Linked DNA regions of Ovis aries. The protein of the gene in region 2 interacts with the protein of the main gene of each other region in a pairwise test. Links are inferred from orthologs where the notes say so. Each region holds a gene or a part of one and is shown on either strand. Other genes may lie near its edges.

Evidence for each region.
Region 1: the proteins of COIL (region 2) and PDLIM5 interact in binary tests that used the Homo sapiens proteins (3 or more experiments, as listed by UniProt). The two-hybrid records come from large-scale screens. The link is inferred for Ovis aries from reciprocal best matches to the Homo sapiens genes COIL and PDLIM5.

Annotation. Positions count from the first base shown.
Region 1 is NC_056059.1:30,642,234-30,658,127, forward strand, and holds part of PDLIM5 (PDZ and LIM domain protein 5), read right to left. Parts: intron 9,044-15,894; coding exon 8,927-9,043; intron 6,673-8,926; coding exon 6,532-6,672; intron 5,805-6,531; coding exon 5,673-5,804; intron 1-5,672. UniProt on the Homo sapiens protein: May play an important role in the heart development by scaffolding PKC to the Z-disk region. May play a role in the regulation of cardiomyocyte expansion. Isoforms lacking the LIM domains may negatively modulate the scaffolding activity of isoform 1.
Region 2 is NC_056064.1:7,477,757-7,494,086, forward strand, and holds the start of COIL (coilin), read right to left. Parts: upstream 10,899-16,330; 5' UTR 10,875-10,898; coding exon 10,630-10,874; intron 10,308-10,629; exon of another isoform or gene 859-10,307; coding exon of another isoform or gene 824-858; intron 1-823. UniProt on the Homo sapiens protein: Component of nuclear coiled bodies, also known as Cajal bodies or CBs, which are involved in the modification and assembly of nucleoplasmic snRNPs.

The DNA.
Region 1 (15,894 bases), on a different chromosome or scaffold from region 2:
GTGACTCAGTTCAGTTCAGTCACTCAGTTGTGTCCAGCTCTTTGCGATCCAATGAACTACAGCACGCCAGGCCTCCCTGTCCATCACCAACTCCCGGAGTCTACCCAAATTTATGTCCATTGAGTCGGTGGTGCCATTCAACCATCTCAACCTCTGTCATCCTTTTCTCCTCCTGCCCTCAATCTTTCCCAGCATCAGGGTCTTTTCAAATGAGTCAGCTCTTTGCATCAGGTGGCCAAAGTATGGGAATTTCAGCTTCAACATCAGTCCTTCCAATGAACACCCAGGACTGATCTCCTTTAGGATGAACTGGTTGGATCTCCTTGCAGTCCAAGGGACTCTCAAGAGTCTTCTCCAACATCACAGTTCAAAAGCATCAATTCTTCAGTGCTCAGCCTTCTTTATAGTCCAATTCTCACATCTATACACGACCACTGGAAAAACCATAGCCTTGAATAGATGGACCTTTGCTGACAAAGTAATGTCTCTGCTTTTGAATATGCTGTCTAGGTTGGTCATAACTTTCCTTCCATAGAGTAAGAGTCTTTTAATTTCATGGCTGCAGTCACCATCTGCAGTGATTTTGGAGCCCCAAAAAATGAAGTCTGACACTGTTTCCCTATCTATTTGCCATGAAGTGATGGGACTGGATGCCAAGATCTTAGTTTTCTGAATGTTGAGCTTTAAGCCAACTTTTTCACTCTCCTCTTTCACTTTCATCAAGAGGCTCTTTAGTTCCTCTTCATTTTCTGCCATAAGGGTGGTGTCATCTGCATATCTGAGATTATTGAGATTTCTCTCAGCAATCTTGATTCCAGCCTGTGCTTCCTCCAGCCCAGCGTTTCTCATGATGTACTCTGCATAGACGTTAAATAAGCAGGGTGACAATATACAGCCTTGACGTACTCCTTTTCCTATTTGGAACCTGTCTGTTGTTCCATGTCCAGTTCTAACAATTGCTTCCCGACCTACATACAGATTTCTCAAGAGGCAGGTCAGGTGGTCTGGTATTCCCATCTCTCTCAAAATTTTCCACAGTTTATTGTGATCCACACAGTCAAAGGCTTTGGCATAGTCAATAAAGCAGAAATAGATGTTTTCTGGAACTCTCTTGCTTTTTCCATGATCCAGCGGATGTTGGCAATTTGATCTCTGGTTCCTCTGCCTTTTCTAAAACCAGCTTGAACATCTGGAAGTTCACGGTTCACGTACTGCTGAAGCCTGGCTTGGAGAATTTTGAGCATTACTTTACTAGCGTGACTCAACCTACTTCAAAAAAATGCTATGTTATTCCAAGGTTATTGCCGGGATTAAATGAAATACAATGAGATAACACATGTAACACACAGCAAGTACTGAACACACTGCTGAGCACAGACTGTATGCTCCAGAAATGCCATATCCCGTAATATGTAGCTCAGACATCTAGAGATAAACACATTTAGCAAGTAAACATCCTTCAACTGCGCTAGTGATTTTGCTTCTAAATGTAGTTTGTAGATAGTTCTGATCCAGGATTTTGAGGTCAGGTATAATCTTGCCTCTTCAACTCAGTTTTAAATGACACACAGTATCTCATAAGCAAAAAATGTTTTCATATTTTTTGTAATCTTTGTACACAGTTCTGTATATATTTTCTCCCAAAGACTCTGAGATTTTAAATCTTAAATAGTACTCTTTAGATACAAAGGGTGTGCAGATTATAAAGAATTTTGAAAATCTAAGTTATAAGCAAGGGAGTTCTATTTATATCAGGATTGATCAGCAGAGCTGAAAAATCTCTAGAATAGATCTCTATTAACTTAAAATTTTTAATGTATTAATGGGAAATAATTAAGTTTTCTCTAGACAATCATGTTGAAATATATGACGTCCAAGCCCCTAAAAATCAAACATCTTTTTTTTCTAATTTTTAACTATTACTTATTACTTAAAGAAATATATGAACATTATGTAAAGATTAAAAAATTAATAAGGCCATTGGCTATATAATTCTATATTTGGGGAAAATGCCATTAATAATCACTAACAGCAAAATATTTCAAACTAATGACTAACATTAATATAATAGTCATGAACACATAGATTGGTATATTCTAAAATCATGACTCATGTACATTTTTTCTAAACTTAAATGGTTTAAGGTATACCTAAATTCTAAACAAATTAAACTGCTTTCTAAAAGATCCTAGTAAGAAAACCAGAGCAAATCCATTAGCAATGTTGATTAATACCAAGCTCAGCATCAAACATGGTCATTTTCACTAGTCTGCCAAATAAACAAGCGCTGAAATGAAATGTTAAAATTAATATGACTTCCATCTGAAGAATACCAAAGATTCTGTTTCATATTTCAAAACCTTAAAATGGAGAAAAATGTATACTGATAGAGCAAAGGTTTCAAAACTGAGCTAATGAGGATAAAAGAAAAAGGAAGAAAAGTTAATTTTCAGTGTCAGCAACCTGATTTATCTTAAATTTACATTCTTTCCCCACATTTGTTTAACTATTATAACAAATAAATTTCAGCTGCAGATGGGGAAGAGTTGGAAATTTCAAGTCTATTTTCAAAAGAGAATCTCTGCTCAAAGAATAACCGTGAGGTAACTTTTATTCTAAATATCATAATTACATGTTTAAATTTTTTAAAAGCCAACTGTACATCACAGATTTTAAACATCAATGTTTAAACTAAGCAGTTTTTAGCTAAAGTCTTACAAAAATTGATATAGGAATGAATATACACATTCTGAAGTGATAAGAAAGGAGTATTTCCGTAAGGTCATAATTATAAGTATTCTTATAGAATGCTATTAAGAATTCTTAATTCTTTAAGAACTTTATAAAAGGATCGAGACATATAGAGCCATCATGAGTCTCCTTTGTTCCAGAATTCTGTTTACAAGAAAACTTTTTGTATTTTCCTAAGCAAAATTCTTAAACTTTTGTATTAAAATTCAACACATTAAATATAAATACTATAATGGAAAGACAAGTCTTGTATTGTACTGCGCTTTATTATAATTTTAAAGATTTGTTGCTATTTAGTCGCTCACTTGTGTCTGACCCTTTGTGACCCCATGGACTGCAGCACGCCAGGCTTCCCTGTCCTTCACCATCTCCTGGAGCTTGCTCAAACTCATGTCCATTGAGTCGGTGATGCCATCCAACCATCCTGTCCTCTGTCCTCTCCTTCTCTTCCTGTCTTCAATCTTTCCCAGCATCAGGGTATTTTCCAATGAGTCAGCTCTTCACATCGGGTGCCCAAAGTGTTGGAGCTTCAGCTTTAGCATCAGTCCTTCCATTGAATATTCAGGATTGATTTCCTTCAGGACTGACTGGTTTGATCTCCTTGCAGTCCAAGGGACTCTTAAGAGTCTTCTCCAACACCACCGTTCAAAAGCATCAATCCTTCGGTGTTCAGCCTTCTTTATGGTCCAACTCTCACATCCATATATGACTACTGGAAAAGCCATAACTTTGACTATACAGACCTCTGTTTTAATTTTAAAGATTACTGTTAAACAAAAGCAAAAATCAGAGATAAAATACGTCTGACAATATCCCAACTGCCCTTTCTAGTACACTTCTCACTGAGGTGGGAAGGTCTCTTCAGGAAACCCTGCACTTTTGCTTTGCAGAATGCCAGCTAGCTTACCTTGTCGAGAACCATTTTCCTTCTCTGGATATCAAACATATTTAGCTTGTGTCTACAACTGTTAATAAAAAGTAATGAAAATTACTAACACTTCCTCTAGAAGTAGGTCCATGGACAAACAGTCGGTTCATAACTGCAGGCATATAAAAAAAAAAAAAAGTTCATTTAAACAATAAGGAGCCTGATTTGAAAGGAAATCAGGGATGCATTTTTTTTTAGAGTAACTTTTCCTGCTTAAAAACAGACTGACTTACCACATAACAACTACATACCAAAAAATTATAAAACTGTTCTCAGTTTTGCAATGATAAATGAAAAACATTAATTCTTCAAACAAGGTATATAAGGATTTTTATGTTGTTCTTTTTCTGTTCAACAGTGAGAACAAAATAACTTACTGGAATAAAAAATCAAAAGCTGAATGAGCATGGCACAAATGGAGAAACAGGGTATTTTCTCATAACCAGTGCTTTTCCTCATTCCATCTCCATCTGATGTCAGCCAAAACATACCATAAGCCATTTAGTTAAAAATAAAGACAGAAAGAAAGCAATAGAGGATTTAGAGATTCTATTGTGTTCTCAAAGGAATTTTTATTCCAAGGGTAGTCAGCACCTGTCTTTGTATAAACTTAGCCCTAATAATGTTATATTTCTGCTCATTTTTTTTTAATTTTAATATCTTTAATTCTTACATGCGTTCCCAAACATGAACCCCCCTTCCACCTCCCTCCCCATAACATCTAATTCCACAAATAATTTGGGGTATTTTTTTTCCTTAGAGCAAAATGTACAATGATATGTCTTCCCCCTATTCAAACATCTCCCTTAAAAGTTATCCAGAGTTATACAGAGCTTATTTAATTGTACTTTACTGTGCTTCATACATACTGTGCTTCTTTCCACAAACTGAAGGTTTGTGGCAACCTTGTCTCAAGCAAGTCTATCAGCATCATTTTTCCAAATGCATTTGCTGCCCACTTTGTGTCATATTTTGGTAATTCTCACAAGATTTCAGAATTTTTCATTATGATTACATTTGTTATAGTGATCTGTGATCAGTGATCTTTGGTATTACTACTGCAAAAAGATTATGACTCTCTAAAGGTTCTGATAATGGTCAGCATCTTTAAACAATAACAGTTTTAAATTAAAGTATATACATTAATTTTTTAGACATAATGCTATTGTACACTTAATGGAGTACAATATAGGGTAAATATAACTTTTATATGTACTGGAAAACAAAAAAAATGTGTGACTTGCTTTATTGCACTATTTACTTTATGGCAGTGGTTTGGAACCAAACCTGTAATATCTCCAAGGGATGTCTGTAATTAAGTATATTGAGCACATCCATAACACTGTTGGTAGGACACAAACATATGATCAACAGGTCACATCAGGCTTTTACGAATTACAGTCATACTCTCTGCCATTAATTTTATGTTCTTTCAGAAATAATATAGTCATTTCATTAAGATTATACCTTTAGGAAACATTCAGGATTTTTTTACTTTTACATTATACCTAATAATTTTTAGCATAATTGTTAAGTCTGGGAGAAAAGTTCATTTTTGTATTTCAGCATTTCCCAGATATGGTGAAAACTAAGTTGTCTGACAAAGTAAAACTCTCATATCTAAGAACTATAAGATAGTAGCCAATCAAAAGCAATTATTATTCTTTTTCATTTTTTTGAAAAGTATAAAGGTGTATCTTATTAAACAATTCTCATATAGCAATATCCATGCAATAAAAAACAGGGTCCTATTTCATACCAAATATCAAGTGTGCTAATAAGAGATGTCACAAAGGATTAAAAGTCAAGTTAATAATCATACAAAATAATGTGCTCGTACATTATTGCTGCATTGAAATTATAGTTAATTTAAAACTGGACACAAAACAGCTCTAGGGTTTCTCATTTGGGCTGTTAATACAGTGCTTCAGTGTCAGAGAAAGCAGTACCTTTCACAGCAAGCCCCCCGTTATGACATCCACTCTCCCCGTACCTGGTCCTCTTAACATGGACAGAGCCAGTTGATTTCCTCAAGGGCTGGAGATACGAAAAAGCTAAAGGCTTGGATACAGGGCTGATGCAAAGTGCATCCAGGAGTGAGTGATATTTTTCGGGACTGGAGAGCCTGGTGAGCATTCAGAAAGAGTTTTAAGTCGAAAAATCACACTACCGATAGCAGGAAGTATGTAGTTTTTATAGTCTGTGATTTGAAACATTCCCAAAGAGAGAGAGAGGGACAGAAACAGAACAAAGCAGCAGAAAGAGGATGAAGTGTCTATCATGTTATTCTACTCATTAATACAGAATTGAGTAAATTCTCATCAAAGTTGATCAAGGCAATCCTTTGGAAAGCATCAAAAGCTATAAATACTAGAAATTATGTAAAAATAAAACCCTACAACAATAAAAAGGTTTAGTCTTTCTACAGGATGAACAGACATTAGAATAGTTAGGCTTTAGATCAACTTCAACCATAACCAGCTTGTGGGAGAAGATAAAACCAACAGAAATCTAAAATACCTATTTATGCTTGATTCCGTTTCAGAATTTTGTTTCATAAAAATGATAAACACTCAAAAGTCAATAGGCACACAACATGCAACAATCCACACAACTGAGAAATATCACAGATAAACGGTGGTAATGGAAAGAGATAAAAGGATTATTTTAGGAAAAATCAGCAATAAACTCTGTGGGATATAGCCACAACCTAGAAAAAAATGTCCCCAATACAATGAAGATCTCCTAACAGGGCTGTGGCTGATTCCAATGGGAATGCTTTCCCAGCGGTGAGTTGTAAGAGTGAAAAGCACTGGGTTCACATCGGATGCACACCGTACATGCAGCTCTACCTGGTTTTTGCAGCAAGAGCAGCAGACACAGTAGCGGCTGCGCTGCTCAGAATGGCAGCACTGTATCTAGCAGGAGAAGACAAGGTAGATAAGCTTCGAGAAGCTTCCAAAGGACTGGTTGCCACATTTCTTGTGGAGCTGCTTAAATCGGTCAGCAGAAAAACAGAGAAGAGGAGCAAAAAGGAAAGTGAGAAGGGGTAGCATAATAAAGATAAGATAGCAATCATGCCATGTTAATACTTAGACTTTTAAAGGCGTGACATGTCACAAGTGTAAAAGGAGCTCAGATCCTTTATTCACTGTTACTATGATTTCTCTCAGAAATTAAAATCTGATACATAATCCTCCATAAAACTGGGTTAAATACTATACAAACATTTTTGAATGTTTTTAAGCTCACAGTCTCTAAAGCTCACAGTCTCTAATCCTACTTAAAGTGAAATCAGTATCATATAACAATAGAAATTTGAAGACTGATTTGTCAACAACTTCCTTTCTTTTTCTTTGTCAACAACTAAGCAGAAAATAAATCCAAACATGAAGGGTGAATTTCAATAAGCAGAAAAAGAAGGAAGGTTACACCAACTTTTCCAAAAAGTTTCTACATAACGAGAATGTAGAATTGATATACACCTTAGAGATAATATACACCCAGAGCCTGATGTTTTAATGAGACTCGAGTTTTCAAGAGAAGCAGGTACAATTGCCTGCTTATTCAGAAGCTACAATACATATTAATACAGATAAGAAATAACTTTTAAATATTGAGAGTAAAACTATTTGGAGAGGGCAAACACCTTTGCAGAAATAAACAGTAGTTACGGTGAATATGACTAAAAGATCACCTTCTCTAATGATGCTCTGTATTTCTATTTTCAGTTAGCTCTGTAAAGATTCAAAAATGCTGCTATGAAATTTTACCTTCAAAATTCCAATTATTTAAAGTAATAGTTTCCTTTGGTCCTTTAGAAAAGGTCATATGCCTAGATAGGAATTAACATTCCATCGTTAGGATTGTAATGATTTTCAAATCTGGTTGCTGCTGTTGCTTAGTTTCTCAGCCGTGCCTGATTCTTTGCGACCCTATGGACTGTATGTAGCCCTTCAGGCTCCCCTGTCCATGGTGATTCTCCAGGCAAGAATACTGGAGTGGGTTGCCATGCCCTTCTCTCAAATCTGGTTATCAAGCTGGAATTGAGAACTTCTTTATTAGGTAAAAAGAAAGTTTAAAATGCATGGGATGAAATCTATGTCTCTCTGCTTTAACTACGCATATAAGTTCTTAATGAATAGCCTCACTATACTATGACTGCCTTTTCCAAAACTGGTGACAGTGGCCACCTCTAACACAATATAATTATGTACCAAACTCAACTCAAGCGAATAAGAGCTCCGATGCCCAAAACTGTGAGGGGTGATATAAGTCTCTTCTCCCTGTCTCCTCTTCTCCCTTCTAGAATAATTTGATAATTCATTATTCCTAGTTCCACTGGCTATAATTTTACAAAACATTAGAAGACAAATTAAGAAAACCGTGGTAAGTCATTTATCCATCTATCTATCTATATTATATGCACACACAGAGAGAGAATTGCTTAAGTATAATTTTTGGTAAGTCTATAATTTAATTGAACTGTGCAGATATGTTTTAACTGTTGTGAATGGCTAGAAAAGAAAAAATGGGGTCTAAGAAAAAGAAAAGAAAAATGAGATAAGCAGCAGAGCACAAGAATATGAGTGTCATACAAAGTGGAAGAATACAGTTACAACTGACTCAACTTTGAGTTTTTCAATTACTCTGCATCTTTGAGACAATGGCTTCTATTTCAGGGAAATAATGGCAAATAATGAGACACTTAAGTCTACAAAAAAGTCATCTAAAAAATCAATCAGCTAAATTATCCTTCTTCTATAAGAAGAAAAGGAAGCTATAATGAATTTCTTTCATCACATTGTATCACAAATAATAGTATAAAAAGATTGAGTAGAGCAGAGTCCGTCAAAATCTTAGGAAAATTAACCTCAATATAATTAGAATGTATCTGGGCACCTAGAACATAAAATTTCTATCAGTTCTTTTTTAGATGGGAATGCTCTAATTCAATAGACTTATGACAAACTCAAGAAAGATGACTTTCCAAAGCACAGTGAACAGAGAAAAGGCACAGATTTCCTGACTCTAAACTAGAACTCAGAATCCAAACAAAAAATGAAAAATTTAAAAGTAGTGTAAAGCAGTGTTCCACCAAGGCTGAGCGCCAAGCTCTGTCTATATATTAGAGATGTCAGTTCTGTAATCTATGATCAGCTTTTCCTTTGTATTAATAGTCAAACAGTTTTAGTACCTATCACCACCAGCATTAAAATTTAGACAGACAAGAGGAAAAAACTCTACCTAGAATACGAAGTTACTTTAGAAACTGTGGCTACTTGGCCACCAATATGTAAAACCTGAGCAGTTGTAGGTGGGTGAGGTCCACTCTGAGGTAGGTCTTCCAGAGAACTGTCAAACCTGAGTTTTCAGAAGTAAAATAAACAAGGCAGAGGAAATATTAATGAAAAGTACAGACTTTAATCATGTATACCACCTTAAAAGCTCATTGGTTCCATTTTGGAATACCGCTAGATTTTTTTTTTAAACTTTCTATCTGTAGAAGGTTAAAACTAACACCAAACACCCTCACAATCAACAAATATAGGCCGTTTTTTAACATAGCAATTTTTATGTGATAAACTATCATGCTTACAGGGGGAAGAAAGGTGGGTGGGAATTTCCATCACTATGTATTTTGCATGCTTCAGAGAAACTTAAGCTCCAAGAAATTAATTAAGTTGCCCAGTATCATATCATATCATATCATATCATATACCTAGTAAGGCTCAGATGGATGCTGAACCAAGTCTATATGTACTCTTTCTAAAACCTTATGCTTTCTAGCATCCTGTGGGGCTGAATACCACAATACACAAAAGCAACTACGAATTTCCCTTCAAGTCAGAATAATTATTTGCAGATCTGAAATAATATGGATGTCATACCTTGATGTAAAGAAACTATTTCATCTTATCAGAAACAAACGTTTACAAGCAATTGTGTTGTTTGAATATGATGCATTTTGTTTTCCTGATGTCTTTACCATTTTTTCTTTTGAATGTCAGAATTAAATTTAAGAGTTATTACCAAGTAAAGAGAAGATGAAAAAATTCAGTGTGAGGCCTGAAAGAAGAAAGCACCAAGTATAACACTTTGGGAAAAAAAAATAAACAGGAAAAAACAAAAAATTATTCATTTTTAAAAAAGCCTGTGGAAAAAAGTAGAATGGATCAGTCATGTCTATTGAGTTTCAAATGGAAAATGTAACACTAAGATAAAAATAGAAGAGGTTATATTCCCATTTTTTATTTAGTACTGGTCATATCTTTAACAGAGTGTTGGAAAAAAGTGTAGATAACTTAAGAAAAATGTCAAGGTAGAAGTAAACATCATTTAAGAGGCAGAGTAAAAAAAGTTAAACAAGAAAGAAAAGAAGTGCTGTAACAAACCACACTCAGCAAACCACAGCTCCCAGGTCAAAGTCAGCCTGCCTCCTATCTTCATGCGGCCTGGGAACTAACAATGGCTTTCATATCTTTAAATGATTTAAAAAGTTAAAAAAAAAGACTATTTCACAACACGTAAAATCTATATGAAACTCAAATGTCAGCATCTATAAATAAGTTTTCGAGAACACAGCCAGGTTCAGTCACTCATATAGCGTCTATGGCTACTTCCATAAAACATGGAGAGCTGGGCAGCTGCAACAGACCCCCATGACTCACAAAATCTAGTATATTTACTACCTCATGTCTTACAGAGAAAGTCTGTTGACCCCCTGTCACAGAGACTAATGTCTCCACACAGCTACCAGAGCGAACTCTTAAGAACATAAATCTGACCCTGTCTGGTTCTTAGATGCTGCCAGCACTGCTCCATGGATGGCTGTGATCCTAGGCTCCCTACTCACCAGCCTTTCTTACAGAGCTTTCTCTCTGTCTGGCTTGCTCCAGTCCAGCGGTCTTCCATCTCTTCTTAAACCCTCTTCCCACCTCAAGGCCACTGTGCAGTCTATTACCTCTCACTTTCTATACCCAGCTCTCCGCCACATCTTCATCACACTAGTTCTTAAGTAACCTTCTGGCCTCAGTTTAAATGTCACCTCCTCAGGGAGGTCTCCCTAATTCCCCAAATTACCTAAATGCGGCCTGTGTAATATGGTTTTATACCACCTTGTACTTTTTCTTCACATAATTTGTTATTATATTAATTATACAATTTATGTGGTTATTTGTTTGAATCTGGACTCCCTCACTAGATTAGAAGCTCCCTGAGGTCAGGGACAGTTACGTTCACTGGTGTAAGTAAAACAAAGTGCTTACAACATAGAAAACAACAAATAAATATTTGTTGAATAAATGCATTGGAGAAATTTATTGTTTTCAAGTACAAACTCACTATATCTATAGTGAGTTTTTTCCACAGAATATATCTCGTACCTTCTTGAGACTGTTTCCCAATTCAGCTGAAACAGGTATTACTGTTTAAGAACTGATACAAGAACAACCTCAAAGAAATGACTAGAACTCCAAAAAAAAAACTTTTAAAATGTCCTTTAAAACATAAAGAATTATCAATATCCTAGAAAAAATAAAATATTATCAATACCTATATATTGGTACATAATGTATATACTACATAGTATGTAATACATATCAATATCTATATTTTAATATATAATACATAATTAATATATAATACATAATGAGGACAGGTAAGGAAAACACAGTGAATTGAAGGAGTTGAGTTTTCCAACACCTCCACAAACTCTGTTGACTGGAAAAATGAATACCATTTGAAAATAAAGTTCATATAACTCATAAAATACCCTTTAAAGCCAGATTTCTAAGTTTCCAAACAAATGTACTCAGGAGGTTTCCCATGTGTTACACACACTGATTATCTATTCCTTTGCTTAGCCAATGTCTGAAAATAATAGACTTAAGAAAATTTTAAACTATCTCATTTAGTACGGAACAGACATCAATATCTATTCTCATTCTGTCATTCCCCAATATATATTCTTTTTAGGGTTGGAAGAAGCTCTAATTAATAGCACCTCTGAGCAGCAAGACTTTCAGCTTGGTCTGTTACTTAAGTCACTTGTCATTTCTCACTAGAGAGAGGTATGAACACTTCCCAGATATGTCTGGAGAGTTGGGCTTGCAGACTTTTGGCCTGCTTTTCTCAGGGAAAATGAACAAAGAGCTATTTGTGCATTATCTTTCTTTGCAATTGTGCCTTTCTTTGTATAATCTCTGTACTGGGCCTTTCTGCGCTTTTCAGTGGGGACCCATGTAAACCGTCTGCTCAGGCAAAGCAGGAGTGAGGTTGCCCATCTGATTAACTTACCAACCTGACCATACCTGTAGGAGCAGCCAGAGGAACTCTACCTACCAGTCCTGGCAACTCTCAAATTGCTAATTCCTTATGCTGTAGACTCTAGCTCCTCCCCTTTTCTCAGCAGCCTCAATCAATCTCTGGCCTCAATCAATTTCTCTCACATTTTCTATTTGCCCCCTACAGGCTTTGCATCCCCATTCAAAAATGCTATAGTTTCTCTTAAAACAATAACAACGAAAACACCTTCACCTTCTATTTCCCCCATGTACCTTAACATCCAAACACTATGAAGTAATTTTACTTACATAGTCTCCATCTCCTCAGCAGCCTGCCCCTCTTCCACTGCCTCAAGTGGGCTCACTCTCCAACCTCCAGAAAACCATTTTCTTGCTGAGGTCCTGAATGACCTTTCTGTGGCTAAATTTAATTGACAATTTGCATTCCTCACTTTTTTTTTTATTGTGGTTAAAAAAAAAAAACAACATAAAATTTACTGTCCTAACTATGATAGAAAATAATCTGAAAAAGAATAACTGAATCACTTTGCTGTATACCTGAAACACAACACTGTAAGTCAAATAGACTTCAACTGTAAAAAAAAAAAAAAATTTACCATCTTCACCATTTTTAAGTGTATAGTTTAGTAATGCTAGGTTTAGCTTCTGTTGTGAAACAGATTTCCAGAGCTCCATGGCTTTTTCATCTTATAAATCTGAAACTATATACTGATTAAATAACAACTTTCCTTTCCCCAATTCCCCCTAGCTCCTGGTAACTACCATTTTATTTCTGTTTCTGTGAATTTGACCACTGTAGATACCTCACACAGGTGGAATCATACAGTCTTGTCTTTTGGGGTGCATTCCTAATTTCATTTAGTCTCATCATAGGAGCCAACTGACCACTTCTCTTCCATCTTCTGTGCTCCGACCTTATCTAATACACTTACCTGTTTTTAGTACTATTTCACTAGTTATTTCTGGCAGAAGGATGATAAAATGCAGCTCAGTTACAAAGTATCAAAATGTTAATTTGGCTCATCCATATTTTGATGGAATGACATCCAAACTATATAAGAACAAATTCTTCACAAAGACTAACCTTGAAAAGGAATACAGAAACCTTCCCTCGCAGTATGAAAACTTTCAGTCTCCAAACACAAATTTCAATCCTCCTCACTCTCCACATGAATGTCACAAAATAATCAGACAGAATGATTTATTAATCCCTACATGGCAGGTTTTCATTAAGAAAAAAAAAATCAGAAACCTTACATATATATTTTATAGCAGGTAAAAGAGGAAAATGACAATAAATTGTTGCTAGTATATTCAGTCTTCTACAAAGCAAGCATTCACAGAATACTGTGAAAGCAGAAAATGGAAAAAAAAAAAGTGAGCTATACCAGCATTGTAACTGCATTCTGTAGTTTTGGGGTTCACTGGAGGAGCAAAGTTATTTATTTTAGCCAAGGAAACTGTCTGTCATCAGGAAAAATGGGAATCTTCTGCCAGCTTCTCAACAACAAATATGCATTCATTTGTAATTACAATTTCCCCTCTGGTAAGTTAAATTAACAAAACCTCAGGTGGAAATTTCTGACACCTTTTATCACAAGCTAAATGTATTAATTTCAACTGCCTTTTTTAAAAAAAAAATCAGCCTAAAAACATTATTTGAGCCTGTTAATTCTACATTTATTATAAATTTCATCATGAAAATAATTTAAAAATAAGAAAATAGGGCACCCTTGATTTGCACATGGAGGGGCTGAGGGGACTGACTGTCAGAAGTTAAAAGAAGATTATGAAATGAAGAATAACACCATTCAAAATGAGGTTTATTTTTTTGTGAGAGCGAATAAAAGAAACTGGGTCAAAGAAATTTTACTTGGTGCTTTGTACTTTACTGAAACAAGGAAAAGAAGGAAATATAAATGGAGGCCTTGAAAGAACTGGAGCTTATTTGCACGGGGAATTTGTTCTCTGTTGTTTTATCTCATTCTCTCTCTCTCTCTCTTTAATGGGGTTTAGTTGCTTTACAAAGTTGCAGTAGTTTCTGCTGTACAGCCAAGTGAATCAGCTATGTATATACTCATACCCCTCCTTTTCGGATTTCCTTCCCATTTACATCACCACAGAGTCTGAAGCAGGCTTTTCTTCAGCACCTTTCAAATTCTGCCCTAGCTTTCATGCATTCCTCTGATCTTGCTTTTCTGTAATGGATGATACATTATTAAATGTCCAGTCTTAGTATTATGTGAACTCTTTTTGTTGTGTTCAGTCACCCAGCTGTGTCTGACTCTTTGCGACCCCATGGACTGCAGCATGCCAGGCCTTCCTGTCCCTCACCACATCCCGGAGTCTGCCCAAGTTCATGTCCATTGCATCAGTGATGCCATCGAGCCATCTTACCCTCTGACACCCTCTTTTTCTTCTGCCCTCAACCTTTCCTGGCATCAGGGACTTTTCCAATGAGTCAGCTGTTCGCATCAGATGACCAAAATACCAGAGCTTCAGCTTCAGCACCAGTCCTTCCAACAAGTATTCAGGGTTGATTTCCCTTAAGATTAACTGGCTTGATCTCCCTGCTTTACAAGAGATTTTCAGGTGTCTTCTCCAGCATCACAGTTCGAAGGCATCAATTCTCTGACTTTTTGCCTTCTTTATGGTACAGCTCTCATAACCATACCTGACCACTGGGAAGACCATAGCCTTGATTTTACAGACCTTAGCTGGCAGAGTAGTGTCTCTGCTTTTCAACACACTGTTATATTTGTTATAGCTTTCCTGCCAAGAAGCAATCATCTTCTGATTTCATGGCTGCAGTCACCATCCGCAGTGATTTTAGAGCCCAGGAAGAGGAAACCTGTCACTACTTCCAGCTTTCCCTCTTCTATTTGCCAGGAAGTAATGGGGCCAGATGCCATGATGTTAGGTTTTTTAATGTTTAGTTTTAACTGGCTCTTTCACTCTCCTCCTTCACCCTCATCAAGAGGCTCTTTAGTTCGTCTTCACTTTCTGCCATTAGGATGGCATCATCGCATATCTGAGGTTGTTGCTGTTTCTCCTGCGTATCTTGATTCTAGCACGTAACTCATCCAGCCCAGCATTTCTCATGATGTAGTCAGCGTATAGGTTAAACAAACAGGGTGACAGCAGACAGCCCTGTCGTACTCTTTTCTCCATCCTGACCTCCATCCATTTGTTCTATAAAGGGTTCTAACTGGTGCTTCTTGACCCGTATACAGGTTTCTCAGGAGACAGGTAAGGTGGTCTGGTATTTCCATCTCTTTAAGAGCTTTCCCCAGTTTGTTCTGATCCACACAGTCAAAAGCTTTAGCGTAATCAATGAAACAGAGATAGATGTTTTTCTGGAATTCCTTTGCTTTCTCTATGATCCAGCGAATGTGGGCAGTTTGATCTCTGGTTTCTCTTCTTTTTCTAAACCCACCTTAGACAACTGCAAGTTCTTGGTTCACATAATGCTGAAGCCTAGCATGCAAGATCTTAAGCATGACCTTACTAGCATGGGGGATGAGTGCGACTGTCCGAAGCTTAGCATTCTTTAGTACTACCTTTCTTGGGAACTGGGAAGAGGATTAACCTTTTCCAGCCCTGTGGCCACTGCTGGGTCTTCCGGATTTACTGACATATTGAACGCAACACGTTGACGGCACTATCCTTTAGGATTTTGAAGTCTTTAGTTATCTATATTTCTTGATCTCTTTAGAGAAAATATAGCATGGGGTCTAAAGATAACATAGATAAAGAATGAGTATATATTTGCACAATGTCTATAAAAATACCAATATAATATAAAGATTTTAAGGTATAATACCAACTTAGAAATCACTTGTAACTATTCCTGATAAAAGTCCATCTCCCTCACTAACAGCAAGGTACTTTGCACTAACCTTAGCTCCT
Region 2 (16,330 bases):
ACTGAACATGTTTTAAACTGTACTGACAGCCATTATAAAATTCTATAACATTTGGTGATTATTAATTTCATGTTGTCAACCTGGCTTCCCTGAGAGCTCAGTTGGTAAAGAATCTGCCTGCAATGCAGGAGACCCCGGTTCAATTCCTGGGTCAGGAAGATCCCCTAGAGAAGGGACAGGCTACCCACTCCAGTATTCCTGGGGTTCCCTCTTGGCTCAGCTGGTAAAGAATCCACCTGCAGTGTGGGAGAACTGGGTTCGATCCCTGGGTTGGAAAGATCTGCTGGAAAAGGGAACGGCTGCCCACTCCAGTATTCTGGCCTGGAGAACTACATGAACTATACATAGTCCATGGGGTTGCAAAGAGTCAGATATGACTGACTTTCACTTTCCATCTGACCAGGCCCTGGGGTACCCAGATAGTTGGTTAAACATTGTTCTGGGTGTGTCTGTGGGGGTGTTTCAGAATGCGATTAACATCTGAATTTGTACACTAAATAGACTGACTGCCTTTGTGACCAGGCGTGCTGCTAAGCCGCTTCAGTCGTGTCCAACTCTTCATGACCCTGTGGACTGTAGCCCACCAGGCAGCCATGTCCCTGGGATTCTCCAAGCAAGAATACTGGAATGGGTTGCTGTGCCCTCCTCCAGGGGATCTTCCCAACCCAGGGATCGAACTCCCATCTCTTAGTCTCCTGCAATGGGAGGCGGATTCTTCACCACTAGTGCCACTGGGAAGCCCACCTTTGTGAGCAGACGTCCCAGTGTGAATGAGACTCAGACTAAAAGGCTGAGCAAGAGGGAATTCCCACCCCCTGCCTACCTTTGAGCTGGGACATCAGAAGAACTTCTCTTCATTTAGACTAGGAATCAGACTGAAATATACCATCAGCTCTCCTGGTTCTCAGGCCTTTGCACTTGGGCTGGAAGTTTATCATCAGCTTTCCCGGGTCTCCAGATTGCCAACTGCAATCTTGGGACTCCTCAGTCTCCATAATCTCATGAGCCAAGTCCTTATTGAAAACCTCATTTCTACATCTACAGCTACAGCCACGTCTGTGTCAGCTCGAATTCTTTCTGTTTCTCTGGAGAACTCCAATACACAGTTCATCCAACAGCACTTCACTGTAGTAAAGGAATTCTGTTCCTCCATGGACTGGCGACAGTTAATTCTAATATGCACAGCCAGAGTGACAGAGACCTGAGTGAGCGTCACCAATGTCAAGCACGCAGTGGGTGTTTAAAAACGCCTGCTAAAAACAAACACTATTCTTGCAACATATTCACATCCAGGTGTACCTTTCACCAAGTACTTTTAGTGACCAGGGAACAATGCCGACAATCAGATTTGAAAATAAAGTACAACCAGTGAGTAATAAAACAGATTATAGGCATTCTTAAATTTTTGAAGGAACATTAATCCTATGGATTTATCTCAATGTGGTAGTTGAAAAAAATCCTCAGTTACCCTTCAAGATACACAAATATACAGACACATACACATAAAGATAAAATAAAAGCTATTGATGCCAGAAGGAGGACACAGAGAGAAATAAAACTCTGAAATAGCAGGGACTTCCATAATAAAAACTCATTACCTGCTGTCCTCAGCTGTGGATGTCGGCACCTAGGAGCAAGGAAGTAACCCTCAAGCTGGCAAAAGCCAGTCTGGGACACTGCGAATCTAAGAACTAGTGAGGAACTGCAGGGTACGGAACTTTCCGTACCCTCTTTCATCAGTTTGTTTTCACGTGTAGCGATGCAATGATTCGGGCTTCAGTTCTGAGATGCTGATGAGTACCAAACTTCTCATCACACTTTGAAAATAGATGCAGGAAATCCACACACCTATGGACACCTTATCTTTGACAAAGGAGGCAAAAAAAATATCACGGAGAAAAGACAATCTCTTCAACAAGTGGTGCTGGGAAAAGTGGTCAACTACATGTAAACGAATGGAATGGGGACACTTTCTAACACCATACACAAAAATAAACTAAAAATGGATTAAGGACCTAAATGTAAGACCAGAAACTATAAAACTCTTACAGGAAAACATAGGCAGAACACTCTGTGACATAAATCACAGCAAGATGCTACATGACCCACCTCCTGGAGTAATGGAAAGAAAAAAATAAACACATGGGACCCAGCTGAACTTAAAAGCTTTTGCACAACGAAAGAAACTATAAGCAAGGTGAAAAGACAGACCTCAGAGTGGGAGAAAATAACAGAAAACGAAACAACTGACAAAGAATTAATCTCCAAAATATACATGCAGCTCAATACCAGAAAAACCAACAACCCAACCAAAAAGTGGGCAAAAGACCAAAACAGACATTTCTCCAAAGAAGACACACAGATGGCTAACAAACACATGAAAAGATGCTCAACATCACTCATTATTAGAGAAATGCAAATCAAAACCACAATGAGGTATCATCTCAGACCGGTCAGAATGAGCATCATCAAAAAGTCTATACACAATAAATGCTGGAGAGGGTATAGAGAAAAGGGAACGCTCTTACATCATTGGTGGGAATGCAAACTGGTACAGCCACTGTGGTGAACAGTGTAGAGATTCCTTAAAAAAAAAAAAAAAAAAAACTGGGAATACAACTGCCATACAACCCAGCAATCCCACTGCTGAGGATACAACCCGAGGAAACCAGAATTGAAAGAGACACGTGTACCCCAATGTTCATCGCAGCACTGTTTACAATAGCCAGGACATGGAAACAGCCTAGATGTCCACTGGCAGACGAGTGGATAAGGAACCTGTCATACATACCACAGTGGAATATTACTCAGCTATAAAAAGGAACACATTTGAGTCAGTTCAAATGAAGTGGATGAACTTGGAGCCTATTATTCAGAGTGAAGTCAGTCAGAAAGAGAAAGACAAATACTGTATATTAATGCATATTATGGAATTTAGGAAGATGGTACCAATGATCCTACATGCAGGGCAGCACGGAGACACAGAGGTAAAGAGCAGACTTTTGGACTCAGTGGGAGGAGGAGAGGGTGGGATGATTTGAGGGAATAGCACTGAACCATGCATATTACCGTATGTAAAATAGATGCCCAGTGCAAGTCCAATGCATGAAGAAGGGCACGCAAAGCCGGTGCTTTGGGACAACCTAGAGGGATAGGGTGAGGAGGGAAGTGGGAGAGGGGGGTTCAAGGTGGAGGGGGAACACATGTATGGGACACGTGTTCCATATACCTGTGGCCGATTCAAACTGATGTATGGCCAAAACCATCATAATACTGCAACTACCCTCCAATTAAAATAAGTAAGTGAATGAAAAGGACACAGATGTCAGACTTTCTGTTCAGTCACTGCGGCTCATTAGCTCACTGGAACGCCGCACGCGCTGCACCCACTGCGGGCAGGACCCCGGCTTTCAGAGGAGCCTTCCAGAGCAGCTTGAGCGACACCTCACGCGTTCTCAAGACCAAGGGTCTGCGGGTGCTCGACCTGTGACTGCTGCAGCCTCGCCATCTGCGGCTGCTGAAGACAATTCCAGTTTGGAACATACTAAGGCTGAGAAGCTCAGTGCCAACCAGGGAACGAGAAACGGCTCACTTGCCCAGTGGTGGACGCTTCTCTGGCAATGCTCTTCATTTCTCCACTTGGATCACAGACAACAAATGTAACCGTCTGCTCACAAACAAAAGTGAATGAAGCTGTCCTTTTACAAAGAACAGTGAGCGACCTGTACAATGAGCAGTGAAGGCAGACGGCCTGTATAGTTTACCTGTCTAATTCCAAGAAATTTTTAAGACTCCCTGTTCACTCAAACTCTTTGCAGGGCAAACTGGGTAAAATGTATTAAAATGTAAGGTAGTCGCTTTAAATCTGCAAGTTCACTTTGAGGATTCTATCATATAGAAATAGAGAAGACATGATCATTTGTACTGCCTGACACCTCCCCACTCCCCCTAGTCATTGCCAAGGCCAAAGTGACTGAATTCAAATCTTCTTCTGCCTTTGGCTAAAAGTTTAAAGTATCATTATTTCAACTTATCTCATCTGTGAAAATCAGGGTAATAATATAGTACTCAAATGAGCTACCATATATGTTTAGAGCAGTGCTGGGCTACGAGCAAGAGCTATCCAAATGTTAGTTCCAATTTTTATTAATACAATGAATGTATTAATAAAATGAATGTCTTCTGAGGACAGGAGTTGGTGGGTTTTTAATGAACTTGTCCCATCAAATGGAGGTGAAATTCAAAAAAGTGGGTGTAAGCAGGAATCTGCAATCTCTTGGGGCCCCATGTGTCCCCCGCATCACCACCTACAGAGAAGTAAGTTGTCTGAGCAAGGGCACACAGTTAATGAGCCACAGAGCCAAAATTCGAATCCAGAGCTCTGAATTCAGACCCTGATCTCTTCATCATTCTGCTCTCCGTCACTCTTATCTGTCACACAATATTGAACAAAGGTAACCCACACACTCTTGGCATAAATACAGACCTGTACAACTTTTCTGGAGGCCAACCTGACAGTACTTATCAGATTTTAACATTTGACCAAGTAGTACCCCTTCTAGGAATGATCTTACTGAGTCACTGCTCACGTACACAAAGATACTGAAGAATATTCACCACAGCAGTATGTACAGGGAAAACCCAAGGGCATTAGACAAGCATGCTCCTTGATATGACAGAGAGGTGCGCCCGGCATGCTATATTCCTCAAACCATCAGCATGCCACAAAGTGAGACTTAGCATCAGGAGGCCCAGAGCTGCACGAGGAGCAGCAGCTTTAAAGGCGAGGACCTTCTCTGGCATCCAAGATTTCCGGAAACCGGACTGCTCTCAGTCTGGCTCAAACACTGTCTTCTTCACGCTCGCTGGCAGCCTCACAGACATGTCAGAGGGCTTGGCTGGCCATCCAAGGAGCTACTGATCACAGCACCATGAGATGAGAACTCGTCTCTAATGTTCTGTATTTAATAATAAGCATCAAACGTCACAGGGTCAAAGAGTGACCGAGGAGAGCAGGCACTTTCTCACAGAATGACTCTTCAACAGAGAGCTCTCACCTCACCTGGTCGCTCTCCAAGCCAGGGGCTGCCGGCAGGCCCCTGTGAAGCTCCCTTCAGGGAGTGTAGTAGGCTAAATTGTGTCCCCTTAAAATTCTTCTATGAAGCCCTAACCCCAGAGTACTCTAATGTGACCGTATATAGAGACGAGCTTTTGAAGAGGTAATAAAATTAAGGTAAGGCCGTTAGAGTGGGCCCTAGTCCACTGTGACTGGTGTCCTGATGAGAGAGAGAATTTGGACACATAAGGAAACATCAGTCACGCGCCTTTTTGTGACAACAGAGAAAAGGTCATGTGTAGACACAGTAAGAGAGATACCCACGAGCCAAGGACAGAGGCCTCAGTAAAAACCGAAACTTGCCAACATCTTAATCTTAGATTTTCAGGCTCCAGAATAGTGAGAGAGAACTTTCGGTTGCTTAAGCCTGTGGTATTTCATCAGAGTGGCCCTCGCAGACTAACGGGGCTCCAGGCAAACGGGAGTGCATCCTCTTCCCAGGGGGGATGGAGACCGCCTTCAGGAGGCCACTGTCAGCAGCCTGGGGGCAGAGCAGTCAGCTTCTGGGGGTTCAAAAGAAGGGGCTGTGAGGAAGCGACCGCGCCAGACAGTGTGGAGATGCTCTTGAGCCTCCAGGGTTAATTTCTCAGGATTCCCACAACCAGGCTCCACGTTCCCTCGTGAGAATTCTCTAAGCACTCCTGGCAATCCCAACAAAGCCCTTCTGCTGGTCACACTCATCTATTCGCCAAGTTAGTATTGCTTCTGTCTCCACAACTATACAGGGCCATCCAACATTTCCCTACCTCCCCTTCAGTTACTGCTGAATTCCCTGATCATTTGGGTTCCATCATGATCTCTCCTTTCTCCTTTTTGCACTTAGCAGCAAAACGTGGAATAACGACCCAGTCCACATGGCACAAGAAGATAGTATACAGAAACACAAAACTATTTTGCTCTACTCCAAAAATATTAGGTACCGTGGAGAAAAGAGATTGTGTTCTTCTGTAGCTCTGAAGAAAAGTGAGTCTGAGGAAGACGAGCAAATGACTGGGGACATGAAGTCGCAAAAACATACAGGACTTTTCCAAATTCAACTTTTTCCTACGGTCCGCCCCATTCACCACTGAAGCCAGCTGCCGAGATATTTTTGACATACGCGACTGTGCATCTGGTGTTTAGGAAGAAGTCTGCCTGCCATCGGTGCTGTATTTATTTCCTATAACAGCTTTCATAGTTTGCTTTTGACATTGCTAACTTCATTATAAAGAGTTTAATTTTCAGATGATTAAATGAAGTACAACTGCAATTAGCTATCAGCAAGTTATTAATTCATGAAGCAGGAGAGAGATCAGAAAGTAAGCATAACAGGACAGGATGCAATATTTATAATAAACAGTCCCTGAACTGCAGAAAGAACAGAATGAATAAAAAAGGAAAACAACTTTTTTTGAAACCTGGACTATTTCAAATTGTCATTGGAAATAGCTAAACGTTATTAGTAAATCATAGTGTTCCTGCTTTTATAAGAAAGGCAGAAAGATACATACATGCACTCAAAGATACAGCAACTGTTCCAAATTAAATTCCCTGATGCTATTAAAAAATCATATGAATCTGACATACTCTGGGAAAAAGAATATTCAACATTCAACAAAAAGCAAGCAGAAGGAAGTAGCCTGGTTCACAACTCTATTTTTTTTTTTTCACTGTAAATGAAGCTTTTAAAAAGAGGCCTTGATTTTGTACATACAAAATTAATACACAGAAATCACTTGCATTCCTATATTATAACAGTGAAAGATCAGAAAGAGAAATTAAGGAATCAGTTCCATTTACTACTGCAACAAAAATAATAAAATACCTAGGAATATACCTACCTAAGGAGACAAAAGAACACTGGAAGACACTGATGAAAGGAATCACAGATGACGCAGGCAGATGGAGAGACGCTCCACGTCCCTAGACTAGAAGAGTCACTATTGGGAAAGTGACTGCACCGCCAAACGCAACCTACAGATCCAGTGCTGTCCCTACCAAACTACAAGCGGCGTTTTCACAGAACTAGAACGAAAAAATCGCACAGTTCATATGGAAACACAAACGCTCCCAAATGACCAAACAATCTTGAGAAAGAAGAATGGAGCTGGAGGAATCAACCTTCCTGACTTCAGACTACACTACAGATCTACAGTCATCAAGACAGTGTGGAACTGGCACAAAAACAGGACTATAGACCAATGGAACAAGACAGAAAGCCCAGAACAAACCCATGCACCTATGGGTACCCTGTTTTTGACAAAAGAGGCAAGAATACACAATGGGGCAAAGATAGTCTTTTCAATAAGTGCTGCTGGGAAAACTGGACAACTACATGTAAAAGAATGAAATTACAATACTTCCTAAAACACCATACACAAAGATAAACTCAAAATGGATTAGAAACCTAAACGTTTCAGACCAGAAACTATAAAACTCTTAGAGGAAAACATAGGGAGAATATTCAATGACATATATCACAGCAAGATCCGATATGACCAACCTCCTGGAGTAATGGAAAGGAAAACAAAAATAAACAAATGGGACCCAATTAAACTTAAAAGTGTTTGCACAGCAAAGGAAACTACAAACAAGGTGAACACTCAACGCTGAGAATGGGAGAAAATAATAGCAACTGAAACATCAGACAAAGGATTAATTTCTAAAGTACACAAGCAACTCATACAACTCAATACCAGAAAAACAAACAACCCAACCAAAAAGTGGGCAAAAGACCTAAGCAGACATCTCTCCAAAGAAGCCTCACAGATGGCTAACACACACATAAAAAGATGCTCAACATCACTCATTATTAGAGAAATGCTAACCAAAACTATAATGAGATATCACCTCACACTGGTCAGAATGGCCATCATCAAAATATCTACAAACAATAAATGCTGGACAGGGTGTGGAGAAGAGAGAAACCTCTTGAACTGTTGGTGGGAATATACACTGATACAGCCACTATGGAAGACAGTATGGAGAGTCCTTTAAAAACTAGGAATAAAACCACCCTCTGACCCAGCAATCCCATCACTAGGCATAAACCCTGAGGAAACCAAAACTGAAAAACACACATGTATCCTGATATTGGCTGCAGTACTATTTACAACAGCAAGGACACGGAAGCAACCTAGATTTCACCTACATACGCACAAGGGGCTATTACTCAGCCATAGAAAGGAACGCATCTGAGTCAGCTCTAAAGAGGTGGATGAACTGGAGCCTATTATACAGAGTGAAGTAAGTCAGAAAGACAAAGACAAATATATATGAACAAAATCTATGGAATCTAGAAAGATGGTACTGATGAACCTATTTGCAGGGCAGCAATGGAGACAGAGATATAGAGAACAGACTTACGCACACGTGGGGTGGGGGAAGAAGGAGAAGATGGGAGGCATGGAGAGAGGAACATGGAAACATACACACTACAGACAGCCAGGGGGAATTTGCTGTATGGCAAGGAACTCAAACTGGGGCTCTGTAACAACCTAGAGGGGTGAGATGCGAGTGAGGTGGGAGGGGGATTCAAGAGGGAGGGGACAGAGGCATACCTATTGTTGATTCATGTTGATATTTGGCAGAAACCAACACGATATTGTAAAGCAATCATCCTCCACTTTAAAATAAATAAATCTTAAATTTTAAAAAAAGCAGCCCTAAATAAATCACTCCAATATATGAATCTGAACTGAAACTGTTAGGGGAAGCACACTGACTGAAACTGCCCACCCTGGCCAGGCACCATAATAACCATCTGCATGAGTTGTTTTAGGACAGGAGGTCCTGGTAAGGAACAGGGAACTAATAAGCCTCTTGATGAACCTGAAAGAGGAGAGTGGAAAAGTTGGCTTAAAGCTCAACATTCAGAAAACGAAGATCATGGCATCTGGTCCAATCACTTCATGGGAAATAGATGGGAAACAGTGTCAGACTTTATTATTTTGGGGCTCCAAAATCACTGCAGATGTTGACTGCAGCCATGAAATTAAAAGACGCTTACTCCTTGGAAGAAAAGTTATGACCAACCTAGATAGCATATTCAAAAGCAGAGATATTACTTTGGCAACAAAGGTCCGTCTAGTTAAGGCTATGGTTTTTCCTGTGGTCATGTATGGCTGTGAGAGTTGGACTGTGAAGGAAGCTGAGCACCAAAGAATTGATGCTTTTGAACTGTGATGTTGGAGAAGGCTCTTGAGGGTCCCTTGGACTGCAAGGAGATCCAACCAGTCCATTCTGAAGGAGATCAGTCCTGGGTGTTCATTGGAAGGACTGATGCTGAAGCTGAAACTCCAGTACTTTGGCCACCTCATGCGAAGAGTTGACTCACTGGAAAAGACCCTCATGCTGGGAGGGTTTGGGGGCAGGAGGAGAAGGGGACGACAGAGGATGAGATGGCTGGATGGCATCATGGACTCGATGGACCTGAGTTTGGGTGAACTGCGGGAGTTGGTGATGGACAGGGAGGCCTAGCGTGCTGCGATTCATGGGGTCGCAAAGAGTTGGACACGACTGAGCGACTGAACTGAACCAGAAGAGTTTGGGAAAGGTCAAAAGGAGACACCACCTGTCTACCCACCTCCCAGAATCCTCTCTGGCATCCGTCTTCCTGAACAAGGCTGCACCACCAGGAAGGGCTCTGAGTCAGAATGATTGGCTAAGGACAACCCAGAAACTAATCCCATCACCATTAAACCTGAGCCTGCAAGCCATGAGACAGAGCTGTTCTCCTGGGTTCCCTTACCCTACTGCTCTCCACCGGGTGCCCTTTCTCAATAAAAACTCTTGCTTGGTCAGCGCAGGTGTCTCCTCCAACAATTCATTTCCTACTGTTAGACAAGAGCCCAGTTTCGGGCCCTGGAAGGGGTCCCCCTTCCTGCAACAAAACGACTGGCTTACCATTTTACTGAGACATATGAGCCACACGTGAGCAATTTACACAAGACTGCACCTTCACACTCATGTCAGTGTCTGTCTCTCTCTTTTTTTTTAAGTTTCCAAAAGCGTATTTAAAACTTTGGTTTCCCAAGTCAAAGCCAAAAGGTTACAAACACCTATTTAACCGAACCCAAGTGAGACAGAGAACTGGGCCGCCAGGCGGTCCGGCAGGCGCTCCGAGGCCGGGGAGACCGCACCTGGTGACGAAGCCACGCCTGTTGGGCGCCCGCTGGGGCCCGCGAGCCGCCGGGGCAAGGCCGAGCCCGAGGCCGGCCCGCGCCGCGCACCTAACGACGGGGCGCGGCTGAGCAAGCGCTCGGCAAGCCGAGGCTGGACGGGACGCCGAGGCTGGACGGGACGCCGAGGCTGGACGGGACGCCGAGGCTGGACGGGACGCGGGCCCCGCCCAGACAGCGGGCCGGGGCTTGTCCGCGGCCGGGCCCCCGCGCCCCACGGGGCGGCCGGAGGCCCCCGGGCTCCCGGCAGGCCGCTCGCCGCCCCCCGCGCAGCCGGCCGCGCGGCCTCCGCGCCGGCGGCGCCCCGGCGTGTGCGCAGGCGCGCCCGCCCCCCGCGCCGCGCCGCGCGCGCACCTGAGGCAGTCGTTGTCTCGTACCAGGCGCGCGCTCTCGGCGGGGGGCAGGAGCGCCCCCTCCAAGTAGAGGCCCAGGAGGGCCCCGGAACTGAAGCCGAAGCGCTGGCGGATCAGGCTGATGAGGTCCGTGACGACGCGGCATCCGTTCAGGTCGATGAGAAGCCAGAAAGACGTGCAGTGCGGGGCGCCGGGCGGCGGGTAATCGAATTGAAGCCGTAGCCTAACCGTCTCGGAGGCTGCCATCTTGCTCGATGCGCAACGGAAGCCGAGAGACTCGACCGGGCGACCGAGAGGCGTGCTCGGGGCCCGCCCCCGGCAGCCTACGAGCGTGTGCCCCCTATTGGTGGGAGCGGCTGCGACGGAACGTTGTGAGGGCGCCGCGGCGCGGAGCGGGTTCCGTTCAGGACGGCGCGCCGGCAGAGGACAGCAGATAGGCGTTTACACCTTTTCTCCTGCGCGCTAGGTACGGTCCGCGTTCAGTCAACTGTCTAGACAAACCCTGCTCAGCACTGCTCTAAGATATTTGCTCATATACGTAAAATAACACAATCTATTCCGGATTGAGTTATTATTTCTAGTGGGACATGGTTCATCAAAATAGCATGAAACACCACACACTTTGTCACATAATTATTAAACAGGAAAAATAAAATGGGCATGGCAATATAGCTATGAATAAATGCAGCCGTGTGTGTGTGTTTTTTTAATCTGAATCTTTTGAATGAATATTACTAAATAAGACAGAGCTCGCCATCAATTTTGGACCTATGTTTTTGGTTTGTTTTTATAGATGTCAATCCCTGAGAAAACTTGCTGACTTATATAAATAGATAAGTATGGAGGGACTTATGTCACTGGCAGTATCAGTCAATTCCTTAAACTTCCAAGGTACATGCTAAACTCACCTACAGATCATGCTTTAAAAAGTATTCCATTAGCCCATCAACAGAAAATTGGATTAAAGACTTACTGAATATGACCCAGCCCATCAAAACTATACCCAGGTTTCCCCTCAGTCAGCCTTTCCCATCAGGAAACTTCCAGTAAGCTCTCCATCAGACGCAAGACAGAATGAAAACCACAATCACAGAAAACTAACCAAACTGATCACATGGATCACAGCCTTGTCTAACTCAATGAAAGTATGAGCCATGGTGTGCAGGGCCATCCAAGACGGATGGGTCAGGGTGGAGACGTTTCCTTTTAAAACGTGGCCCACTGGACAAGGCAATAGAAAAACACTTCAGTAGTCTTGCCTGGAAAACTCCATGAAGGGTATGAAAAGGCAAAAAGATACGACACTGAAAGATGAACTCCCCAGGTCGGTAGGTGCCCAATATGCTACTGGAGATCAGTGGAGAAATAACTCCAGAAAGAATGAAGAGACGGAGCAAAAGTGAAAACAACACTCAGTGGTGCATGTGACTGGTGATGGAAGTAAGTCCAATGCAGTAAAGAGCAATATTGTGCAGGAACCTGGAATTTTAGATCCATGAATCCAGGCAAATTCAGTTCAGTTCAGTTCAGTCACTCAGTCCTGTCCCACTCTTTGCGACCCCATGAATTGCAGCACACCAGGCCTCCCTGTCCATCACCATCTCCTGGAGTTCATTAAAAGACATCATTTGAGTCGGTGATGCCATCCAGCCATCTCATCCTCGGTCGTCCACGACTCCTCCTGCCCCCAATCCCTCCCAGGATCAGAGTCTTTCCAATGAGTCAACTCTTCGCATGAGGTGGCCAAAGTACTGGAGTTTCAGCTTTAGCATCATTCCTTCCAAAGAACACCCAGCGCTGATCTCCTTCAGAATGGACTGGTTGGATCTCCTTGCAGTCCAAGGACTCTCAAGAGTCTTCTCCAACACCACAGTTCAAAAGCATCACTTTTTGGCACTCAGCTTTCTTCATGGTCCAACTCTCACATCCATACATGACCAATGGAAAAACCATAACCTTGACTAAACAGACCTTTGTTGACAAAGTAATGTCTCTGCTTTTCAATATGCTATCTAGGTTGGACATAACTTTTCTTTCAAGGAGTAAGCGTCTTTTAATTTCATGGCTGCAATCACCATCTGCAGTGATTTTGGAGCCCCCAAAATAAAGCCTGACACTGTTTCCACTGTTTCCCCCATCTGTTTCCCATGAAGTGATGGGACCAGATGCCATGATCTTCGTTTTCTGAATGTTGAGCTTTAAGCCAACTTTTTCACTCCTCTCTCTCACTTTCATCAAGAGGCTTTTTAGCTCCTCTTCACTTTCTGCCATATGGGTGGTGTCATCTGCATATCTGAGGTTATTGATATTTCTCCCAGCAATCTTGATTCCAGCTTGTGCTTCTTCCAGCCCAGCGTTTCTCATGATGTACTCTGCATAGAAGTTAAATAAGCAGGGTGACAATATACAGCCTTAAAGTACTCCTTTTCCTATTTGGAACCAGTTTGTTGTTCCATGTCCAGTTCTAACTGTTGCTTCCTGACCTGCATACAGGTTTCTCAAGAGGCAGGTCAGGTGGTCTGGTATTCCCATCTCTTTCAGAATTCTCCACAGTGCATTGTGATCCACACAGTCAAAGGCGTTGGCATAGTCAATAAAGCAGAAGTAGATGTTTTTCTGGAACTCTCTTGCTTTTTCCATGATCCAGTGGATGCTGGCAATTTGATCTCTGGTTCCTCTGCCTTTTCTAAAACCAGCTTGAACATCTGGAAGTTCCCGGTTCACGTATTGCTGAAGCCTGGCTTGGAGAATTTTGAGCATTACTTTACTAGCATGTGAGATGAGTGCAATTGTGCAATAGTTTGAGCATTCTTTGGCATTGCTTTCTTTGGGATTGGAATGAAAACTGACCTTTTCCAGTCCTGTGGCCACTGCTGAGTTTTCCAAATTTTCTGGCATATTGAGTGCAGCACTTTCACAGCATCATCTTTCAGGATTTGAAATAGCTCAACTGGAATTCCATCACCTCCACTAGTTTTGTTCGTAGTGATGCTTTCTAAGGCTCATTTGACTTCATATTCCAGGATGTCTGGCTCTAGATGAGTGATCACACCATCGTGATTATCTGGGTCGTGAAGATCTGTTTTGTACAGTTCTTCTGTGTATTCTTGCCACCTCTTTTTAATATCTTCTGCTTCTGTTGGGTCCAGACCATTTCTGTCCTTTACTGAGCCCATCTTTGCATGAAATGTTCCCTTGGTATCTCTAATTTTCTTGAAGAGATCTCTAGTCTTTCCCATTCTGTTGTTTTCCTCTATTTCTTTGCATTGATCTCTGAGGAAGGCTTTATCTCTTCTTGCTATTCTTTGGAACTCTGCATTCAGATGCTTATATCTTTCCTTTTCTCCTTTGCTTTTTGCTTCTCTTCTTTTCACAGCTATTTGTAAGGCCTCCCCAGACAGCCATTTTGCTGTTTTGCATTTCTTTTCTATGGGGATGGTCTTGATCCCTGTCTCCTGTACAATGTCACAAACCACAGTCCATAGTTCATCAGGCACTCTATGTATCAGATCTAGGCCCTTAAAACTATTTCTCACTTCCACTGTATAATCATAAAGGATTTGATTTAGGTCATACCTGAATGTTCTAGCGGTTTTCCTTATTTTCTTCAATTTAAGTCTGAATTTGGTAATAAGGAGTTCATGATCTGAGCCACAGTCAGCTCTCGGTCTTGTTTTTGTTGACTGTATAGAGCTTCTCCATCTTTGGCTGCAAAGAATATAATCAATCTGATTTCAGTGTTAACCATCTGGTGATGATCTATGTGTAGAGTCTTCTCTTGTGTTGTTGGAAGAGGGTGTTTGCTATGACCAGTGCATTTTCTTGGCAAAACTCTATTAGTCTTTGCCCTGCTTCATTCCGCATTCCAAGGCAAAATTTGCCTGTTCCTCCAGGTGTTTCTTGACTTCCTACTTTTGCATTCCAGTCCCCTATAATGAAAAGGACATCTTTTTTGGGTGTTAGTCCTAAAAGGCCTTGTAGGTCTTCATAGAACCGTTCAACTTCAGCTTCTTCAGCGTTACTGGTTGGGGCATAGACTTGGATTACTGTGATATTGAGTGGTTTGCCTTGGAAACGAACAGAGATCATTCTGTCGTTTTTGAGATTGCATCCAAGTACTGCATTTCGGACTCTTTTGTTGACCATGGTGGCTACTCTATTTCTTTTAAGGGATTCCTGCCCGCAGTAGTAGATATAATGGTCATCTGAGTTAAATTCACCCATTCCAGTCTATTTTTGTTCGCTGATTCCTAGAATGTCGACATTCACTCTTGCCATCTCCTGTTTGACCACTTCCAATTTCCCTTGATTCATGGACCTGACATTCTAGGTTCCTATGCAATATTGCTCTTTACAGCATTGGACCTTGCTTCTATCACCAGTCACATCCACAGCTGGGTATTGTTTTTGCTTTGGCTCCATCCCTTCATTCTTTCTGGAGTTATTTCTCCACTGATCTCCAGTAGTGCGTTGGGCACCTACTGACCTGGGGAGTTCCTCTTTCAGTATCCTATCATTTTGCCTTTTCATATTGTTCATGGGGTTCTCAAGGCAAGAATCCTGAAGTGGTTTGCCATTCCCTTCTCCAGTGGACCACATTCTGTCAGACCTCTCCACCATGACCTGCCCGTCATGAAATGCAAAAAAGCAAAATGGCTGTCTGGGGAGGCCTTACAAATAGCTGTGAAAAGAAGAGAGGTGAAAAGCAATGGAGAAAAGCAAAGATATAAGCATCTGAATGCAGAGTTCCAAAGAATAGCAAGCAGAGATAAGAAAGCCTTCTTCAGCAATCAGTGCAAAGAAATAGAGGAAAAGAACAGAACGGGAAAGACTAGAGATCTCTTCAAGAAAATTAGAGATACCAAGGGAACATTTCATGCAAAGATGGGCTCGATAAAGGACTGAAATTGTCTGGACCCAACAGAAGCAGAAGATATTAAAACGAGGTGGCAAGAATACACAGAAGAACTGTACAAAACAGATCTTCACGACCCAGATAATCACGATGGTGTGATCACTCATCTAGAGCCAGACATCCTGGAATATGATGTCAAATGAGCCTTAGAAAGCATCACTACGAACAAAGCTAGTGGAGGTGATAGAATTCCAGTTGAGCTATTTCAAATCCTGAAAGATGATGCTGTGAAAGTGCTGCACTCAATATGCCAGCAAATTTGGAAAACTCAGCAGTGGCCACAGGACTGGAAAAGGGCAGTTTTCATTCCAATCCCTAAGAAAGGCAATGCCAAAGAATGTTCAAACCATTCAGGTATAACTTAAGTCAAATCCCTTATGACTATGTTAGGTAGTTAGAATAGGAAACAGGAGTCCAAAATGGCGGTGGCTAAAAGACAGGGAAGGGAAAAGCCTGAGAAAATAGAACAAAGGAAGGTCAAAGGAAGGTCAGAGTATTGGAGTGAAGACATCAGGCAGAACAGCAATTTACATAGGACAGGGCGGGGGGGGGGGGGGGGGGGGGGGAACAAACATAAAAAGAGGAGCCGTCCACTCTTCAGGGTGTGGGCCATTGCTGAGGAATGCAGTCTGGCTAGGTTTTGCCTGCGGGGTGAATTCATATGCTGATGATGGGGAGGCTCATCCCAACTATTGGGGAACCACCCACTCCTCCATCTTTTGACAGTGCCTTAGAGCAGTCCTGCCACCTCTGGATGTGTCTTTTGGCTTATAGATTGGGGATTCAG